Oryzias latipes: one gene and its partner. The protein of the gene in region 1 interacts with the protein of each later gene in a biochemical or structural test. Links are inferred from orthologs where the notes say so. Each region holds a gene or a part of one and is shown on either strand. Other genes may lie near its edges.

Region 1 (11,094 bases):
GGTGGAGGTTCTCGTTGCCCAGCCAGAACTCGCCCTTGCCCTGAGCATCGACTGAGCCAAACCCGCCGCGATAGTCGGCCCAGGAGCGGTTGAAGCTAAGAGCTCCGCTCTCCCTCTGCTGAACTAACAACCAGCCCCCCATCACCCCCTCCTGCTGGCAGTAAACCTCCACCACCTGTGTGGAGTCAGCGCCGCCGGGTTTGATTTTAAACAGGCCATTTGTTTCCCCTTTCAGGTGCTTCTGGTTGGCTTCAACACAATCTGTAAACAAGGAGGGGCACACAGCAAACCGCCAGTTAGCGTGGAGCAGCTTTCCCCATTTTAAGACCCATTTACAATCAGGCTACAGGCATGTTTTAAGACCAGGTTCTAGGGCCCTACTGGTGCTCACAAACTGAACCATCGTAACAATAAGAAGACATTGGAACGTAAGTAAAGGCTTGATTAGGTCAGCTAGATGGTTAAGTTGTGTTGTTGTAAAGAACGCTGACGCAGTGTGAACTCAAAGAAACACTTGTGTTCTTTTATTTAATTTGTTTAGCGAGGAGCACAACAGATGACACAGTAGCAACTTCAGCTGTTAGCAAACAAAGGTAGGCACAGTTAGCGTGTAGCTACAACCCTGATAAAAAAGCTAAAAAAGTAAAAGAAGCAACCAAAGGTTTAAATGCTTTCAAGTCATCATTTTCTTTATTTCCACCTTTTGTTTTGCTCTCAATTATGCTAAAGGCTACAAAAAAGTTGGGACGATGGCATTAACGTCTGGTGTTTATGCTAATGCTAGCTAACAGGCTGAAATTTGCTATCTAGCTGACTCCTTCTTTCTTGGCTTTGCAGATTTTACTCCAAGTCAGTAGTTTTGGTACCTTTTCCTACATAATCGGCCTGCCGGTTGACGACCGTGCTCCCTAGACTCCGGGCATGGAAATCCGGAAGATCATCCTCTGCGTTGTCGGTCATGAAGGCTCCGAGGTCGCTCCCAAGGTCGCCCTCAAACGGATTTCCTAAAAGCCCTCCTTTGGCTCCACTGCTGAAACCACTTTTGGTTGACATGGAGGACGATGTGTGGCTCAAACTGGGGAACAAGGAAGTCAGCCCACCCTTGGTGAGATCAGCTCCCCCTTGGCACTCTGGTCCCCCTTCAGTTACCGTCTCGTACCTTTCTACTGGCCCAGCCTTTGTCTGAACCACAACCTTTTTCATATGGGTGGTGCAACTGACACTTTTGGTGGTCACACTGCCTGTACTCGCCTGACTGAAACCGCCAAACCCTCCTAACCCTCCACCGAAAAAGTCTGTGTCGCCACGTCCTCCAAGCTCAGTGATGGACTTTGATGGATTGGAGGAACCAGAGCTGGAGGAGGATGATGAGGATGATGATGATGATGTTGACGGGAAAGGAGTACCTGGCTCTTTGGAGACGGTTGCGGGAGACGAGCTGGAGCCTTCCTCCTCCAGGACAAGCTTAAGCGTTTTAATCTGAAAGGAATGAAAGCGGTAAAAACTTCAGAATAGGAGTCAACATTAAACTTCAACTTTAAAAGACTTCGGAAAGTCACAAAGTAAAAACAGTTGGACCCCATCCTCAATTTTTATTTTCCTGAGAATCTCCACAGAACTGCTCAGAAATGTACCAGTACATGCTTGTGATAAAAGACGGGCCAACAGTTTTCCATTAGTTCCAATTTGGGAAAGATCCCGAAAAGATTTTTTTTAATTACTTTTCTTATCAAACTCAACTCATCTGCGACAAGAAAAGACACACAATCTTTGCGTAAACTACAGTAACTCTTTGACCATTCACGCGAATAACGTAATTTCAATTGTTGAACATTTTCTAGTATTGATACTTTATATGGTAATTTGTTAAGGCAAGGTGATGGAGATCTTAAATTTAGCGGTTCCCAACGCGCAGGCCACGGGCCGGTTGGTGGGACAGTTGGTAAACACATCATGATCTTCATTTTTTCCCAATTTTTGTTCCAAATTGATTCTAAAGGAAGTTTTATTTTGAAAATCGACCAGATTCCCTCTCCACCACACCCGACTCATTCTTGGCACATGTCAAGTCCCTCAGTCATGTGTTGAAAATCCATCTGCTACTACAAAATAAAAAAACCTCACTCTACCAAATGTAAACTGTAACTCTATTGATTTATCCAATAAATGTAAGTCCAACAGATTCTGACTCAAAGAAAATACGCTTTCCGTCGATATTTAATTCTTTGGAATTACGCGGTGCGTGATTGAAGAGCTAGAAGCTAGGGTAATTCAAGATATTCAACTCTCAAAGTTTAAACTTTCATACATAAAAAAAGTCCAGGATTATAAAAGGAAAAAAGAATGAACTCTGGAGAGGAGACATGTCACAGATGAGACTGATTGACAAGGTCAGCAGCCAACCAGGACGAAGAACACAATACCCTGTAAAAAAGACGCAAAGTTGCACCAAAGAAATTGCGAAACAGAACGACAGCGAAAGGTGAACCACGGTAACATCTGACCAGAGTGTTGTAGACTAAGAGCTCTCTGTACATGTAAACATTCTGAACAGATCTTTAGGCAGAGAAAACACTTTGCACCGATATGCAACACTTTAAGCTACTAGCATGCTATCGTAAAGTGTTGCATGTTGACGTAAAGCTGCTTTCCTCAGCGTCAGAATTCCTCGGTTTACGTTAATTGCGTAAATGGTTGAAGTCCCAGTGGTTCAAAGAACATCAACAATCAGGGTTAGGGTTAGGGTTAGGGTTAGACCTTCAGTTCTGGTGTTGGGGGTTAAGATAGGGTGTGACGATTCATTTTGGGATTATATCATAATGTGTGGTCGCAGATACGATTCATATCGGTTCATTGTGAACAACCCACTGACCTAAAATTGATCCTAGACATCTTTAGCCAAAAATTCATCCTGTGACTATTTGTTGTTGCGTTGAAGAAAAATGGCACATAGGTGTTTTTGGGTGGTCAATAGTGGCTTACGTCACTGAACAGGTCCTGTTTCTGTTGACCCTGCACGGCCTTGGATTTGTAGATGCTGTCCACCTGCAGGTCCTTAAGCGGCCGGCTCTTCATCACGTAGAGCGTCCCGGCTGCTTCGATGTTCTGTGGCGTCTGCGAGTCCAGCTGGGCTACCTGATGGACAGAGAGACAGAGAGACCTTCAAAAGCAGGTCTTCTCACTGATGTGGTGGAACTGCGGCGGTCCCCACCTGCTTTTCCAGGGTGACGTAGCTCTGCTGGTCCACCTGGTACTCATGGTAGGTTGCACAGGATCCCTTACAGGAGCGAAGCTTCATGTCGATGTCGACCTGCCAGAGAGCAACAGCAACAGACGTCACCACCAACAGATGAACCGGTTTAGGTTCAGGTAGATGTTGCGCTCTCTCCATACCTCCAGCCTTTGCATTTCCGTGACCTGTTCCCTGATTCGCCCCTTCAAGGCGGCCATGACTTTCATCTGTCTGTCAATCCTGATTTTGATCTCTGTGATTCTCTGACGCAGACTCTGGGCCAGTTCGAAGTACTTGTTGTCGTGACCTGTTTGGAGACGATAGCACAACCGATGGGACTTCCTGTCCACCAAATCCAGGAGGAGAAGAGACGGTTTTCTGACTCTGACCTGCATCGACGGTGAGTTTCTCCCGCAGGTAGTCGTGGGTCTGCTTGGACACCTGGTCGGCAGAGCGATACTTTCCCTTGTGCTGATTCAGCTGGTCACGGATGTACTCGATCCTTTTCAGCAGGTCATGGTCATATTTATCCATCAGACCTTGAATCCTGCAGCCGGAAGGACATTTGTGGCCCTACGGTGGACAAAAGGGGTCAAATTAACACACTACAAGAAAATGACAGAAAAATGAATTTAAATCAACTTTTGTAGGGTTTAAGTAACCCCCCCCCCCCCCCCCAAAAAAAAAAATATAAACAAAATAAAAAATGTGACATTTAAATCTCTGCAAATGATGCATTAAAATATACAATTTAAAGCTGCAGGACAAAGACTGTCTGCTTATTTTTTTCTCTACGAATGAAAGATAAAAAAAAACAGGAAATGACATTATTAGAGGAAGCGCGTTCATTGGTTGTCTCTGATGGTTTAGTGTGGAAAGGAGCAGAATGACCTTGAAGACTTGACCACGAATCCTAAAGGACGATGAACTGAGCGTTTAGCAAAACCTAAAGCAAACATGAATCCCTTACAGAAGTCAGGAGGTTTTACCTTTTATACCCCAAAAACATTTTAATGAGTTTAAGTCCAACATAAGTATAGAGATGCTAAAGATTATTGTCATCCGTGTTCCTCCAAAATATAACATGGTTACAGTGTTTAAAGAAAGGTAAATGTTGGGGCTTTTGTTTGACATTTGGACACCCATATTCATACTTTTATTGGGTGCAATTATCAGTTATCAATGGCCCTTGACCATTAATCATCTGTATCTTTGAAGGAAGCATGTCAGGCGATCGCTAAACGAAGACATTTTCGTCAGTAAATTGTTTGTTTTAGCAGAATTTCCTTGTGCATCCAAAGTTTTCACAGCTGTTTTTCTGTTTTTATTGAAGTGGTTCCCTTCTTTGCTTTGTGTTTTCGGTTGAAGGGGGGGTCAAACCTGGTGACATGTGTTATGACGAGGCTGTGTGTCGATTCTTGAGAAAACGTTTATCCGTTACGGCTAAGTTCATCGAACGCTCCGTACTGCAAAGACCGTTTCGAAGGGAATCGTGAAAAGGAAAAGAGTCTCTGAGGAGGTTTTTAGGAAAACCACAACATTCCTCCCCCGGACCATTACTTCAGCTACTCTGACCGTGTGTTGAATGAATAGGCGGTAAAACGAGGAAGAGTACCCAGTCATCGTCGAGACAGAACGGCCACTCCTTCTGCGTGGCACATTTCTCGTCTCTGGTTCCATGTTCCACCGGTCGAGCTCCTCTGGGGTCGATGACGGTGTCCTGAAACAACAGAGACTGGGCTGTGAGGACCAGAGGCTGGTCACTGCGTCAGAAAGAGACCAAAGCTCACGGAAATATAGTTCAAACTAAAGGTTCTCTGGGATCCTCAAAAAAGAAGCAACACTTAAAACCTCCAGAGAGGCGTGTCTCACCTGTGTGAAAGCCACACAAAGCAGGCAGGTGAGAACCACGAGCTGCTTCATCCTTCTCTCTTCTGTGTCTGACTGCATCTGCGCAGCTGCAGTCACATCTTTTGAAGGCCTCCACCAAAGCTGTGACTCACCAGAGAGCCGCCGGCCGTCAGGTCGCATCAGAGTTGAGCAACGGCTCCTGCTGATCGATACGTCGCTGTTTGTTGTCCTGCTGTGGCAAAGTACACAATCTGTGAACCCAAACACGCACAGCTTACCAGCAGCCCATCCTCCACGTCCTCCAAAGGCAAACTTTCCCTGATGGTAAACAGGACCGACTCATCCTGTGACTGATCCTGTACGATGAATGAGACTTGCAGAGTCAAGCTTTGGTCACATGAGCGTTTGAGCCAGTAAAAGCCATGTTTCAAGTCTTTTAAAGAGACCTCAGGTCACCTCGGTTCCCCTGAAAAGCTTTGTCACAAAAGCTTTGTCACAAATACTCAGTTAATAAGTTTAAAAACATTTTTTTTCCCCCTTTTTATGTTTGACACAGATTATTTGTCCTCCTAGAGAGGAGCCGCTGCATGTTAAGGGCAGAGCAGTTCCCTTGAGTCTCATATACACTTCAAAGGACGTCATTGTCACGGCGCAGTAAGGCTAATGAAAGTGGGTGTCGTACACCACACTCTAGTCGTTAATGACATCACGCGAATGCCGAGTGTGATGAATAGGTGGTCATCGGACGCCCGTAAGATGTCCACACTAACTACACTCTGATTGTCTAAGGATGCGTGGACACCAGGCATGTGATGCACATTGAAGAACGCTCTGAACACAGGTTCTAGAACGAGCTGGACTGGCGCTGCCCAATACTAGCACATGTCTGCCACCTACAGTTGGAGTGGTGTGACATGTCAAAGCTTTATTCCAATATATGAAAGACATTGAATGATCCTAATTTGTAGATTTTGACTTTGTGAAATCAGTGACGTCATATCTGTTGTTTAAAACAACCAAAATAGTGAGCACGGTGTCTGAATGGTTTTTAACATCCAGGCCACTAGTTAGTTCTGGACTACATCGTTAGAGTTTGTCGTCTTGTATAAACTATTTCTCTGCAGAAACACTGCAGACCTTCATGGCTTTGCAGAAGAAACACGCAAACTCTGGTTTATCCCTTGTGGTATCCTAGGCACTTTAACATTGGGAGTTGGGTCATCTAGACCCACTAGACAGTGCTCTGAACCTTTTTTCTTCAATGATTTGTGATCTTCACTGGTGTCCATGGATTACATTAAATCTTTCCACCTTTATCCACCTTTGTCATGGTAGGGAGAACACGTTAAAAGTCATCTTGACCCCATAGGATAGCACAAGGGTTACAAATGAATCTAAAGTCATTTTTTTTCTCTGTTTGTCTTTTGTTGTGGTTTAAATGATTGTGTCATTCTTGTGTTGGCGTTTCTCACCATTGTTGACAGTTGACATGTTGTGTGATAAAATGCCTCTAAACTGTGACATTTGCCCTGCGTGTGCCTGATCCCACCACCAGGTGGAGGCAGACGATGGCTTTCCACCCCCGAGGTGGGCAGTTCTACACTCGGGGGTCCAGTCCCTGACCTCAGTGCAGGCTGTGAGCACTGCCTACAGTCTTTGGACCGAACACACCTGATCCAGGTCCTCTGGATCGAGGTGGAGACGCAGGACGGGGGGGCTCTAAGGGGCGGAGTTAAATGATGTTGATTTCCTGAACATCGTCTGGAGCACAAAGAATTGCTCCGCCCTCTCCAGCCGCTGACATCCACTCATCCTCCGGCTGCGCAGGACAAAAACTCCGACTGTCATTACGCAGACGGGCCAACACCCCCCTCCCCCCGTCCTTTGATGATTCTCCTTTGAAGTGGGACATTTTTGAAGTGCCTTTTGAAGTGCCTTTTGCTGATATTGTGAGCCTGAATGAAGCAACTCAGTCATTTTCCATTTAAAGACCCCGTTACTGACCCTAATTCATGCAGGACGCAGCGTGACTGGAACTGACAGAACTTTGAAGATGCCACCGTCTTCCTGCAGAATTTGCTTTGGTCAGCTGCATGTGGAACTGGGGGGGGGGGGGTCTTTCAGAATGATCTCATTACGGTGCTGCTCTGAGACGTGACACACCTGACGTTTGGCACAAAAACTGTGATCTGATCAGCAGAAAATCACTGCAGATCACAGACGACCAAAGTACGTGTGTGCGGGCCCCCGGGAAGCTGTCACCATGGCAACCAGAGAAAGTTTAGGTCAATGGAGACTTTTCCTTCACTCACTAAACAAACCCAGTCACATGACCACATGAGAGGAAGAGATGACTGTACAGTAAAGTAAGATTCAATTAAATTTAATGTTTACAGCCCAACATTACCACACAGTCGGGCTTCACACCGATAATCAGTACAAAACCTAAAATCAGTTGTAAAATACTACAGCTGGCTACTAAACTAAACAGAATAAAGTAAACTAAACTAAATGAAACTAAACTAAACTAAACTAAACTGGCATCTCTGCCTTTAGATCCTCCTTCTCTGTAAGGAAAAACAGAGGCATGGAGACTAAATGATAACTAAAGGATCAAGAATAGAGGAGAGTAGAAGTAGATGAGAACAGAGGACAGAACCCCAGTGCACCATAGTTTCCCCAGCTTCAAACTATTGGCCTACTAACAACTTTATTGTTATTGTGATTAAATGTAATTCACCCCGACACCTGACAATCTCTGGTCTGACCTGAACAACACCTGAAGCTCACAGTCCATATTGTTTCTCCACACATTCATGGATTATGTCCTGATTTCAGTGATGGTTTTATTTCTTAGAAACAATAATTCTTTTGATTTGAATGGTTCAGCGTTTTTTTCCTGATGGTTTCTATCAGCCGTATTATTTCTCTGACCTTCTCGTCGGGTCTGTTGGGCGTCCACATCGTTTCGCCTTCTTTTGCCGATGCGGCACAAATATATATTTTCCATCCAAACAAAAGCGTATCCGTCTCTGCCGCCGCCAGAGCAGGCAGACGACATTCAGGCCTGATGTTCCCGCGAGCTTTCACACAAAAGAAGTCTTCTACAGCGGCGGAACCAGTCTAAATGCTAATGGAGTCGGTTTTCAGCGGCTTGTATCAGGTTCTCTTTACTTAACGTACAGAGCACTGAACCTGGATTTCACTTTCATTTCCCCAAAATGGAAAGTTACAACAATGTCGGACAAGCAGAGCCGCTCAGCTTCTGAGATCGTTGGTGAAAAAGTGGCAGGACGCGGGTCCACGGACTCAAACCTCCGGATCCTCTTTATCCACAGCATCTGCACTTCAGTCAAAGAATGTTACCTTTAATAAATCATCTGCATGGCAGGCAGAATACCAAACTGCTGAATCCCATTTAGGCCGATGGAGCCGACCTCCAGAGGCTCAATTAGAGAAGAGGTGCTTCTTCTGCGGCTGACGTTTGTCCGCCCCCCTTTGAAGAAAACTCGCTCATTTAAAAGACCAAATGACCACAGGCCTCCCCCACAATACACCACAACGACACCCACATGGCGGCCGCCACCCACCTCTGAACTTCACGTGGATCATTTAAACTCCCTGCAAAGCAAAAGGCTAAAGCTGAGGAACTTCTGAAGACAAAAGTTCTTCTTCAGAAGAAGAAAACTAAGATTACGTTACCGTGGCAACGTCTCTAAACCAAACACAGAGCCGGTAAATGGTTAGGACTTCAACTCTGTGTTTCAGTGGAGCAATCTCTTATTCCAAAATCAATATTTAATTAACCTGGAGTTGATCTGATCAGTCATTTCATGAGGAACCAGAAGCTCGTAGTCATAGCAACCAGCAAAAATAAATGTTCAAAGGTGGGGATTTTTTCTGTGTTCACCTCCTGATATCCGTCTCTTCAAATGTTGGTCTGATCATCGTCCGACCTTTTCAGCTGCACAAACTTCAACTTCTTCACAGGAAGTTGTGTCTTTCAGATTCACTAAAGGGAAAACAGACGAAACCTTTTAGTACCTGAATTCTTTTTATTTTTTTTAAGTACCTGAATTCTTGATTCCAGATCTTCTAAGCATCTCTTTACTTTTCTTCCATTTCCTTGTGTGTCTGTTGACAAACAACTGAGTTCAGGACTTGAAGGTTTGAGTTTTTTTTCAGCAAAGAAAGTTTTTTTGTTGTTGTTCAAAGTTGTAAAAAACACTTGTGTGTGTGAAATTTGTTCCCGGCATGTTACCCCTCCCCTGGGGGGGCGGTGAGCTGCAGACACGGGAACCATTTGGTGGTTTAACCCCCCGATCCAACCCCTTTGTGCTGAGTGTCAAGCCGGGAGGGGAGGCATTAATAGGAGAGCTTTTGGGATGACTAGCCTGTGGATTTGAACCCACGACTTACCGGTCTCTGTGCAGATGCTCCCCACTAGGCAAGCAGTATTGACAATCAAGTTATTTTGACACGGCACAGAAAGTTGTTCATATTCTGCTTTCAAAAAAAATGATGACATCACAAAATGATGACATCACAAAATGAATGGGGCCAAAATTCCTTACTCATTTAAAAACCCAATAATGAAACCAAAACACAAGTCTCAGGGATGTCCAAAGAGAGTTTTACGGTTATTATGGGATGGCCAAAGGACCCACGGCTTGGCAGCAATTTTGTGTCAAAGTGTGAAATTTGGTGATTTTGGCAGAATAAAAATTCAGTTTGAGCGATCTTCATAAAGGGAGATCGACCATCTTAAATCTAATAAAAAATCACGTCTAGTGCCAGAACCTCTTTTTTTTACCTCAACATACATGAACTGTTGGCTCAGGCTGAAGGAAGAGACAGAATACACGATGTAAACAGTTTAGGAATGTGGGCGTGGCTAACTAAGGATCTCAGTTGCCGAGAAAACCCAATGCCAAAAAAAACAACAAATCACACAGATCTGTTCGTCACTCCCAGGTGACCAAAACATAAAATGGTTGCCATGGAGATAAAACCAACAGAAAAGTTGCCGAAGTTGCAGAAGGGGGTGTGTGGCAGTGAGGGTGGGTCAAAGTGGGGGCGGGGCCTCTTTTTCAGCAAACAACTGCTGCCACAGTGTTGGTTCCCGCCGTTGAATGTCTTCATGGGACTGGAGCTAAAAACAAACAGGAGAAACAGAAGTTCCTCATTCTGTGACCACGGGACGCCGACAACAGACAGATGTAACCAGGAAAACCTTGTCTAGCTGTTTCCTCCCATTCCGTTCTTGGTTTCCTCTTTCTTTTGTCGTCTGCCGTCTCTGCTTCATCTTGTCTTCTTCTCTACTGATTTATTCCTCGCGTCTCCTCTTCCTCTCTTGCTGAGCCGCAGACGCTTGTTAATTGGCTTGTGATGCATTTTTAATGTGCAGTCATTTTGGCGGCTCTGTGTCATGACTGAGCAGACGTCTGCGAGCTCTGCCGCTCCGTCTGTGGATGTTTGGACGCATCCTTCCTCTTCCTCTTCGTTGTTACCGGAAGTCAGCCCGGAAGCATGAAAGTCTTTCTGTTGCTGCTTTTGGATTTTGGAGGAAGCCTTTCCCTGAAACTTGTTGATGACGGACAGAGTTTCTGTCAGAGAAGCAGACCCCCCCCCCTCCCCCCTGTGGTGGCATCTTCCATCTTAGTCACTGGGGTTGACTTTAGTTTTGCTCTTAAGTTCAACTCATCCTCAGAGCAAAAGAATCTTTTAAAAAAAGACAACTTCGGGGTAGAAAAAGGTGCACGGTGGTGCAGTGGTTTGCGCTCTAGGCCCCCTGGTTCAAGTCCCGGCTGGAGGACCTGAACCAGAACAAAAACATGCTTCATAGGTTCATTGGTTTCTCTAAACTGTTTCTACAGGTGTGTGATTGTGACAGACCAGCGACCTGTCCAGGATGTCCTCATTGGTCCAGACGTTTTTTGAGACCAGATTCATAAAACACGTCTGACGTAACTTCATGAAGGATTCATTTTCCTTCCTGCTCTTAATGTTTT
Region 2 (10,970 bases), on another chromosome or scaffold:
AATTTACAAAATTCCAGTTTTAAGTAAAATATTTTCAGGAATAAAAATCCTTCAATATTAGAGAATACTAATTAGATGATTTTAACCCTAAATTACTCTTGCAATTTGTCAGTATCCTAAATAAAAAAATGTTATTATCCAGTTGCTTACCAGAATATTGCCTCAAAAAAGCCAATCTAGCAGCCATATGTATTTGTATTTTTGTGCTTTCTCTTCATCCCAAAAGTATGTTACGACAACATTTGTATGGATTTTTAAATAGGTATTCAAGAGAAGAGGAAACTCCAGAAACTCCAGAAAAAGACAGATTTCTGTGCAGTATAGTAGTAGTAAAGTCATATAATCTAAGATGTCAAAGCTGAGATGCACATGGACATGCAAAATCCTATTGCAAATGTTGCAGGTAAGCGATCAATATTTGTCAACATGTGCAGAAAAACAGATTGTCTTCTTGTTTGGTTATACCTTTTCCTAAATGTCTATCATTTTGCTGTTTAAGAGAAACAATCTGGCAAAACTAAAAGCTATTTGTTAAAGTTTACATGAGTTCTCGGCAGAGAAAGGCCAACAAGTTTCCTCAGTTCTCTTCCCTGATTTGTTTAGATTCTCTTTTTGAGCCCTCTCTCATTAAGTTTATTCACATACAGATGCCAATTCCCCCTTGAAATAAACAGAGAGTGGAATATGTTCATCCTAAAAACATTAGCGACCACTTCAAACAATCCAACCAGGATTCTTAACCTGATAAGATTTAAGCTCCAGCAGAGTGGAGAAAAATGGAGGGTATGTGTGTTACATGACGGAACAGCTGTTTCTCAGTAAAGAGTGAATAAACATGAATCACCATCTGAAGGGGAAAAAATAGGGGGGGGGGGGGGGCTGCACCCATTTGACCAGAGAAACAGAAAGGAAGAGTTTATTGCAGCTTCAAAAACCACTTTAGGAAGCTCCTTTGAAGGAAAAGTCCATCAGAGATGAAGAAGATAGGTCCTCACTGACTCACTTTCTGGGGTTGACTGATCTTATGAAAAGGCTTTGTGTTCTGAGCCATCACAGAGGTAAAATAGCTGCGTCTGCAGCCACAAATACACACAGACCCATGCTCAGAGCTCACACAAAGGGCTCAGGACTGTGGAGCTAACCAGAAGTCAGAAACGGTTGTACCCTGCAACCTTTTCCTTGTCTGAAACCCCCCTTAAGCATGCAACAGACACACACTCACCACCAAAAAAGACAGGTCTGCAAACGAAAAGCTGCCGTTCTGAGCCTCCCCTCTGCCGGCCGAGCCTCACTGACAACAAAACAGCAGTTTCCTTTGTGTTTCCTTTGTGCAGCTATTCAGCGTGGTTCAGTCTCCAGCCGTGTCAGCTCAAAACATGTGTTTCCTGTTAAAACACAGGCAGGGCAGGCTGGAAGGGGCTCTCTGCATCGTCTGTAGTCTGTTTTCCATCTTATTACGAGCAAACACACAACCTACTTTCTACTTTACAATTTGCTCGATTAATTTATCTTTATACCAGTTTTTGTGGTAATGATTGATATCCATATTCTTAGCACAACCCAAGATTCTTTTCGAACAGATATTGTTGGTTGCATCGCACAAAAATTTCATAATGAACCTGAAAATGTACCCCCCCCCCTGCAAAAGTAAAAGAAGTTCCGATCAAATTGTTTTTATGTTTTACAAGAAAAGGTTTAACATGTGGAAACAAAATAGAAATGTTTAAATCCACGATCAAATCAAAGACAAGTTCAAAACAATGTGAAAAAATTTCATAAAAAAAGAGACAAAGCTCCACTGAACAAAAGTTCCAAGGCTTTTTTCCAAGAGCAATCACAATTATGTTTTAGAACCCTAGTTATTTCCAAGCTAAAATTGTTTGAATCATTCATGTTAAAATTTTCAATGAAAACAATCCTAATGAGGGGTGTCGGTTCCATTCCTGCATCACTGTAAAAATCCCAGGTGATTGGCAAACTCAACGGTGAGTTCAGGGACTAAAATAAAATAAAAAATCAACATCTTAAAGAGTCACCCTAATGAAAATTCTGTTGTTGTTTTTTTGTTTTTTACAGGTTCCTGTGGCTTTTTTCTGATGAGGGAGGAATATATAAAGAAAATTCGGCTTATTTTCTTTAGACAATATGTTGTGAATTTGGAGTTTGAAGGTGTGACAAACTGTAGAAGCTACTACGGCCAGCCACAAGCTTCCTGCTCCGCTCCACTAGATTCATGTATGTCTGTGTTTCCCTCGTCTGAGTTGTCTCTGCATTAAAACTGGTTACTTCGGATATTGCTCACCATATATCTACTGCACCGGTAATGTTCGGTTGGGGGTGTGAATGATAGGGAAGGGGGCGGGCTTACTCCACACCAACAGTCCTGCTCATGAATTTCTAATGAAGTGCTGCCGCTCTGCAGAAACTATGTCTTACAAAACGACAGTTGTTTTTTTTTTAATTTCCTAAAAATTGCATAATTATAATTGAAAGACCACTGGGAATACTTTAAATATAGATGAAAAGATGATCAGAGTGGGACTTTAAGTCAAAATGTAGAAATTTTTCTTATTTAAGACGATTTTATTTCATCTAAACTGGGAATTCTAAACGAATTTTGATCAAATCTGAAAGCAAATACTTCAGCTCCTCATGATAGAAGCTTATTGGACACCAGCAATGATGGGGTTAAGGCTTTTTGTGTGCTACACCCAGCCTGTTCACAACTGTAACACATACAACCAAGTATGCAGCCTGTGTAGAGGGAGTGTAGTTCCTCCTGTTAGTAGGTCAGATATGAGTGGAAGAACCACAAACATCTTCAGAGAATCTGAAGCCAGACTATGAATCATAATAGCAGGTCTAAAAGTGCAGCAGTTCAGTGGGGCAAACACAACAAAAGCATGCAAACAAAAGTAAACAGAGCTACTCCTGTCTCAGGAACAGGTCTTTAACAGGGAGATTTGTGATGAGTTCTCAAAAGTGTGATGATGGTGTACTGAGCGTGTAAATGGATGTGAGACATTTCTCTCGTATTGTGACCGAACAGAAAAGTCAGCAGGACAATAGAGTTGAGGCAGAAAGCTGCACTTTGCTGCTCAACTCAAATTACAGTTTGAAGTGGATCCCTGAGCCTCCCCTCCTCATTTCTGGTGTCAGCATGGACGATTAAAGGGGCCCAGCTGGGCTCCAGATCTTAGAAAACATGAAGGAACGTGGATGCTCTGCGTGACCAGCACTGCAAAAAGTCCAACCTGGATAGATGTCAACTGTGTCTTTGCACATATGTCAGGTTTCACAGCTGCTTTCAGGGGAAATCTGAAAAAGTACAAGGCGACTTTTATAGAGAAAAGGAAGCAAGAAGAGACAATTAAAGAAAAGAAATAAGGAAGTGATATTTCTATGGGGAAGTCTGCCGTCCGTCTCTGTTTTAGCCATAAATATTTGGACGTTTTTGTGTAACATTATTCATTTTTTCTTCCAATATTTGGAGGATTGTGAATTCTAAAGCAAATTTGAGTGTGAAAATTCTGTATCTACAGCTTTCATAACACCTTCAAAATACTTTTTGGGATTACTTCCTAAAAAAAGTTGTAAATTACTTTTAGGTTGTTTTTTTTTATGTCAGTCAGAGAACCAGTTTCTCCAGAACAAAGATGAGCATTGTTAGTTGTTGGCATCAGGAAACAAGAGTCTCTAACAGAAACTGGCTTTTATGTGAGGATATGAAAGGATGTGGAGAAGGATATTGCCATGAGAAAGGAAGAAATCCAATCTCAGAGGTCAACAGAGTAAGAATGAGTAGTTCTGAGTCATCCGAGCTTCCAGGACTGCAGACATGAAGGCATTGTGGGATTAATAGCTTGCTTTTATTCCAACTAAAGGTGTTTTTTCAAAAATCACAGAGAAATTCCCAGCAATACAAACATTACATGTTATCAGCTGTTCCCACAGTCTAATTAGGCAAACTTAAAGGCCTAAGCCGCTGATAATGTGAGTCAGAAACCCAGCTGAGCGCTTAGAATGAAGGTTCTGGATCTGCTTTTTCTAAGCTCAAATCGGAGTGATGGAGAAGCTCAGAGCCTGACAGGAGGAGGGTTACCTCAGGATCACCCTCTCATCCTGATTCTTCTAGTACAGGGGTCTGCAACCTGAGGCTCCGGAGCCACTCTTATCCTCTCCATTTTGGCCCTTTGGCTTTAAAGAAAAATGCTATCAATCTGAATTAATATTAGTTCCATTTTGTCATTTATTTTTGATTTTTTTTAACCAATCCTTACATTACTCCACTAAATCAGGAGGCATTGAGAACGTTACCATTCCTCCAAAATCAACGCACATCAAATAACTTTGCAAGATGATGGTAAAAAGTTTGATCTATTGTCAGAGTGGTTTATCATTACAACACATTTAAGCTCATATTCTAATGTCTAGTTGTTATTCAGCTGCAAAGTTCTAAAATCATGATTTCAAGTTAATCTACTGCAGCAGGGTGCATTTTATTTTGAAAGGAACTTTTATTTGATGCTGTCAAAAGTAATGGGCCTATAATAAAAAAAAAATTGTAATTCGATTATTGTAAATAGTTATAAGCTATATTTTAAATATGAATGGTTTAATGGCCACACAAAGATTTAAAAAAGAGTTTTTTCTAAAAAAAAAAAGTGCGGTCAGACTTTGTGACTCTAAACAAATTCCGATAGTGTTAAAGGTTGTAGAATATAAGTAATGATGCTAAAATAAATAATTCTATGACAGCTCAGTAAAAAAAAGGTTATATTTATAATACACATCACATACATAGTAATGTTAGACATTGTTGTTCAGGTATCTTTGAACAAACATCTATTTTTTTGTTTTGTTATTTTGCGTTTACATTTTTTGTCTAATAAAGATTCTGTCCAAAAGATAATTATGAAATCGGCAGATCTACAGTTTTCATTTTCGTGCTAAATGAATACAAACTGCTATAAGTGTGGAATAAACGCGCAGTAATCAGGCGCGATGGTCTGTCGGAAGAGGAAACAGCAGCGACCAGAGGAGAGAAAACGGTTCTTACCGGGTCTGGTGTCGGTATGAGATGTGGTTCCGTCCAAAGAAGTCTCAGGTTTGGATGGGGATGGTTCTGGCAGCTTTTATCGGACCGCTCCGGTCCCGCAGGATCCTGTAGGGGAGGGCCGACGTGACCTCAGCCGTAAGCGCGTTTTACAGGGCAGGAGGATGACGGTTGCGCGAGCGCGCGCGCACGCGGGGGAGGGACCCTAGCAGCAGCAGACCAATTTTAGGAAGAAATACATGTCCAATACAGTTAGTCCTTAAACTATTGTGTCCGTCAGTCAGTCAGTCAGTCAGTCAGTCAGTCAGTCAGTCAGTCAGTCAGTCAGTCAGTCAGTCAGTCAGTCAGTCAGTTAGTCAATTTCTTTATTTAAAAAAAAAAAAACACCGTTTAACTTTTCACACAAAAGCAGATTAAATGTCACCATGCTTTGATTACCCCCAAAAATTCTTCAATGATCCCCCGTTCAAGACAATAAAATAATCTGTGTGTACATTGAATAATAATTCAACAATATTGTAAAATTATTGGCAACAAGCAAAAGAGAATCAGACATAGTCACAGGGTTATTGTTTATTTTGGATCTAAATAAAGACAACATAAGCGTCAAAAACTATTTTATTGAATAATATTGAATTATTCTGTGATCTTTCCCCTCTAAAGAATTTCATATGTGATAGATAATTTGTTCATTTTAATCCTTAAAGATGAAAAGTGTCACATTTATTCATTGTGTGGTTTTGTTCTGACAGGTGTTAATTGAGATAGTGTTTACGGGGCATCTTTGATGATGGGGAGAGACTCTGTGTCTGGCACCAGAACTAATTCATCCCAACCACAACCCCCCCCCCCCCCCCCCTCCACCACCACCACCCCCCCTTTGTTCAACCCATCCCTTTCCTCAGGAAATCCGCCTCAACAATAGAACTAAGGTGGGTTTTTTACACGAATATTCATGCCAACCGCTTTGTACAGCAGTGAAACCCATATGGTATTACTCAGAGTGCATCATTTTAGCATGTAATGGGCGTCACTCTAATTTGTGTCTGTTTTATTTCACTTTTCTTCACAAAAAAAGGATACCATGCAAAAGTTCAGATTATTTCTAGTTGACGAACCAAGAAATCTCCAGTTTTTTTAAGTTTAATTTTTTATTTTTATATTAATTATTGACATGCTGATTGACAGACCTTCATAGACTAACTACATGGACAGGTAAATCTGATTCGCCCATTAATAAAATTTACCCCCAGAGACAGCCAAAGCCCTAACTGCTTACCTCAACAGCTTTACAACAACTAACATAAGAGCAGAAATGATAGTATTTGAAATACTAATCAAGCAAGCCCTGCACAATGGAATTACTTTTGTAAACTTAATTTCAAACTTTTTTGCATAAGTTCAAGTTCACTAAAGAAGTCATAATGTAAGAGACCTGGCTGAATGGCTGCTCTATGTATCAGTTGAACATGTGCTCCAAATCTAAAGAAAAAAACCCCATCAAGACTCTTATTATGAAAAGCCAACATCTATGATGGTAAGAAGTTCTATTATTTTCTATAGAGTTCACCCCCCCCCCTTTTTTATACATGAAAGCTATCATTTAGAACTAGTTCAAACAGAAATTATTAACAACAAAATAAGTGTGTTGGGTTCATACTGTTTGGGTCTACAATGCTGAATCACCCCCCCCCCCCCCCCTGGGAAAAAGTAAAAAATAATACAAAGCATTTTCTTTAAACAAGCATATAAATCTACCAATATTAACAAGAATTCTTATTTTAAGAAAAAAACATTAGACACTAAAGTTTTCTACAATTAAGATTATTTTTGCTGTTTTAAAATTGACGTGATTTGATCATCCTTTTTGCAAAATAGAAAATAAGACATTTTTTCTTGAAACTAGAATCTTATTTCATATTTCTAAGATTCAGTTTTTGCAGTGTAAGATGAAATGCAGGAATTTGCTGATGTTGTTTTTGGTTCTGTTTGTCAATTTTTCCATTTGTACTTTTAAAAACACAAATGAATGGGGTTGAAAACAAACTGTAGCTGTTGTAAAATGTCTTCCTTAAATATTAAAGGAATTAATTTATATTGTAGAGACAATTAAGAATTAGAATATTTTGGAAACACAATGTGGGTTCTGTAGTATGTAATTAGGGGCTAAATCTGTATAATCTGAGGCTTAAATAAATAAATTATACACAAAATAAATAAAGCAAAAACTGTTTTTTTTTCCCGTGTCACATTTATAGCCCTATTTGGTGGACCGCTGTCTTCTCTGGGGGACGTATCTCCTTCTGTTTTCATAAACAGGAAAATCTTCCATCCTCCTCCTGAACTGTCCAATCTGATAACACCGTTCTCACAGATTACACCACAAAAACATCACAAACCACCAGAGTCTCAGCGTTTAGAGCAAAGCCCGGTGATGCTTTCGATTCCGGATAAACACTTCCATCTAAGAATAGCCTCCACAGCATCACTGTGTGACGCTGGAAAGTTTGAAGTGCCTCTTCTTCCAAAAAATCCAGCATCTTTCAACCTAAGACGCAAAAGAATCGATGGGATGACGTCACTGAAAAAGAACCTTTGACTTCAGTTGAAACCAAAGCTCTTTATAAGCAACATCCTTACTGGTGAGTGTTTAATACATGAACATCCTACAAACAAATTTGATGGACATCTCAAAAAATTGGAAGATAATCAGTAACGATGCTTCTGTTCAAATGTGTTTTTACAAAAACAGGTTTTGCAAACGCTTTGAAATCTAAGATACTCTAAACAATATCTCTGTCTTTTGTTTTGATGAGTAACTGAAGGGAGATGATTACAGATGTATATTTTAAGTGGTACTGAAACGGAGTTAGAGGCTGACTCAAGCGTTACTCTTATTAAAAGTCTTTAATGTGTCCAAACTGTTTCTCTAAATATTTATGACTGAAATGGCAGAAAATGATAGATCCGAGCGCACAGGAGTGATGGAATGTTCAACCACTCTGTTTTGGTGATGATCTGCTTTTATTCCAGAGGTGAACAGATGAATGAAGACATTATTTTTTACTATTTCCTTGCAGATCAACCAAAATCCACAGAAAAAGCTTCAATATTAAGATGTCTTTTTGGAAATTCAGGGATTTATTGTAAAACTTGAATTTTATTATGACAGACAGAGATTTACTGTACATCTTGAGAAAACCGCTGTCAGCTCCGGACTTTCCGGACCACACTTGTGGAAGTGTGCAAACAGGAAATAAATGCCTGTTCTCCTATCATCATTAATCTAAATTAAATTACCAGAAAAACAATCTATGATTTGCTCCTACCCTTGGTTGCGGACCCTAAGAAGCCTATGAAGCCCATCTGCTGGACTATTTAAACATGTAGTTGTCGAGTTAGATAAGCTAATTCTTCCAAGGGTTCTGGTACATCGCCTGTCCGTCCAGGGGGAGGATCCTACGTTTTTGTGGACACCCCTGAGGTTTCTTCTTTTGATTTATTTCATTTTCAAGCCAGTTCCTACTTCCCATCATCCCTTTGTTTACACACTCTCCCACTAGCTTACAGCCCCTCACAACCCCAACCTAACATTACTGGTGCAACTAAAATGACGAGCAATACTGAAGCTATCCAGCTGTACAGTTTTGAGCCAGATGCCAGCTCAGACATACATGAATCTATTTGTCTGCAAGTGGATGTATCAGAAGGGAGCAATGAGCTTGTGACTTTGCATTGCAGGTTCTGCATCACAGTTACCGGTACAATGTTTTTCCTATTTTTTCTTCTTCTCCTGATTCACGATTTTAATGAAGAAATACCCAGAAATGCAATTTTAAGCTTGCGTTTTTCTACACACTGTATGTCCTCCATCAACATAAATTGTTACAAGAACGTGTTAAAAACACAAAAAAAACGATTATCATTGGAGTGGGTCTTTAACTTTACAGAACAAAAACTGTTCCTTGACTTAAACACCTTTTTTTAAACGAAACCTTTGCAAATGTGTGCCTAAAATGACTGATTATCAACCAGAAATGTGGTCCCTAAAGATATATCTAGGACCTCCTGCTCAAATTATTTTTGACAACAAACTTGGCTGTTTGTGACCTAAAACAACCTCAGTGCCTGTATTTGTCAAACGGTTTAATTTAACATATCCGAACAAATCACCTAAACATCACTTCCTCAGGTGAGGGTTCCAGCAGGGAAAACAAACAAAAGGTCCAGTGAAGATCACTTTTGTTTGAGTTAATATATAAATATATCAGCAGAAAATTTTGGAATATATGTTTTGTGAAGGCAAAATAATACAGCTGCTTCAAAATCATCAAAGAACACTTAAAGAAAAAGGTTTTATTTTTTACCAAATATAGATAAGTAATAAAAAAAAAGAAAAAGAAAAAATCACATGTTTTTAAGCCTTTTTATAGAAATAATCGATACATAAGCTGCTTTGAAAACTGCTACTAAGACTATTTAGTTTGTGCAAGTTAAGTTTATGTATTTCAGGTGTAATTTTAAAAAATCAGGAAGCACTTGTCCTCAAAAAGGGTTTTATTTAATCTAAAAAGAGGGAAAAGATGATAAAAAACGATGCTAAGTACAGATATCTCTGTGGTTAAAACAGAAATAAAAGAAACAAATCAATGTAAAACTTTTAGAGAGTAGAAATAAAAGAATTTAAAAAAAATAGAAGATAAAACAAAAGAAAGTAAAAGAAAGCGTCTTGTTTTGGCTCCGCCCACATGTGGGCGGGGTCAGTCCCCCAGGTTTACAGGAAACTTGAAAAGCAGGAAGTCCTCAACTTCTTCAGATTTGTTCAAACTTTCCCCGAAAATACGAGATTAACCTTCAAAACACAACATTTGTTGCAGTTTCTGAACCGTTTTTACAGTGTTCACCACCAAGGTAGGACAAAAAAATCGAACTTTGATAGAAACTACACGTGTGCTACGCTACAATTAAGTAAATAATTAGCAAATATGTTTGTTTGTGAACACACAGAAGGTCCGAGCAGAAGTTTTAAGTACGTTTCAGCAGCATTGAGACTGAAAAATACAAGTTTGAGGGTTGAAACGTTTCTGTGACGGTGACCAGGCCTCAATGAAACAAACTGACGAGCCGGTACTTTATTTTATTCTGACAAACACCGAACCTTTCGGTCTAACAGGTTAAATATTTAGATTAAAACTTAGATATATTTTATTGTCCTTCTTAAAAAACTGTTATGAGTTCAACTCCATCATCTTAATATAAAAGTAACAAAGATAAACACTTAACTATTTTCTTTTACACTTAAATAAACATCTAATTTTAGTCCAATTTAAGTTTGCTGCTAATGATATTTTATATTTTCATAATAGAGCCAGAGACTTAGTTATTGATTTAATTAAAAGATAATCATAATTAGGGTTTTAAAAAAGGTCAAAGGTTTGACTAAATGCATGATTGATCTGCTGTTTGGTTTGTGTATTTTGTACAGTTTTGATTATGTATTAATTATTATGTTAGTAGTTTAAAGAAAAATTCACTAGAATACCTTGAAACCAACAAACGTGTTAAGAAATCAGACAATGAAAATCAGACATTACTTTGAGTTACTGTTAAACGGAATATATGTTTTTTTTTTTAATAATTAAAATAATAAAATCCCAGAAAAAAATAAAAATTATTTGACCATAGGGACGACTCCCCTAACTACAATGCAAATTGTATTTATTCTAATTGCCCAGTAATCCCTGTAAGGCCTGCTGATATGGTTTGTACCTTAGAAAGAGAAGGGGGACTTTTTTTTTTACAAGATATTAGAAAAAAATAATCTTGACAAGCATGTCAAAGGTAAAGACTGTTGGAGCATCTCCAAACATCATATTTGCTGTTTGAAAGATTGTAAAATAATCCAAACAAAATG

Evidence for each region.
Region 2: the proteins of fga (region 1) and plat form a complex in vitro, tested with the Homo sapiens proteins (2 studies listed by BioGRID). The link is inferred for Oryzias latipes from reciprocal best matches to the Homo sapiens genes FGA and PLAT.

What each region holds. Positions count from the first base shown.
Region 1 is NC_019876.2:1,410,148-1,421,241, reverse strand, and holds the start of fga (fibrinogen alpha chain), read right to left. Parts: upstream 5,398-11,094; 5' UTR 5,373-5,397; coding exon 5,362-5,372; intron 5,283-5,361; coding exon 5,105-5,282; intron 4,953-5,104; coding exon 4,848-4,952; intron 3,806-4,847; coding exon 3,622-3,805; intron 3,540-3,621; coding exon 3,394-3,539; intron 3,311-3,393; coding exon 3,212-3,310; intron 3,136-3,211; coding exon 2,983-3,135; intron 1,480-2,982; coding exon 867-1,479; intron 262-866; coding exon 1-261. UniProt on the Homo sapiens protein: Cleaved by the protease thrombin to yield monomers which, together with fibrinogen beta (FGB) and fibrinogen gamma (FGG), polymerize to form an insoluble fibrin matrix. Fibrin has a major function in hemostasis as one of the primary components of blood clots.
Region 2 is NC_019867.2:6,186,610-6,197,579, forward strand, and holds the start of plat (tissue-type plasminogen activator precursor), read right to left. Parts: upstream 5,111-10,970; 5' UTR 5,060-5,110; intron 1,357-5,059; exon of another isoform or gene 1,223-1,356; intron 1-1,222. Other genes in the region: ikbkb (inhibitor of nuclear factor kappa-B kinase subunit beta), read left to right, coding at 9,805-9,967. UniProt on the Homo sapiens protein: Converts the abundant, but inactive, zymogen plasminogen to plasmin by hydrolyzing a single Arg-Val bond in plasminogen.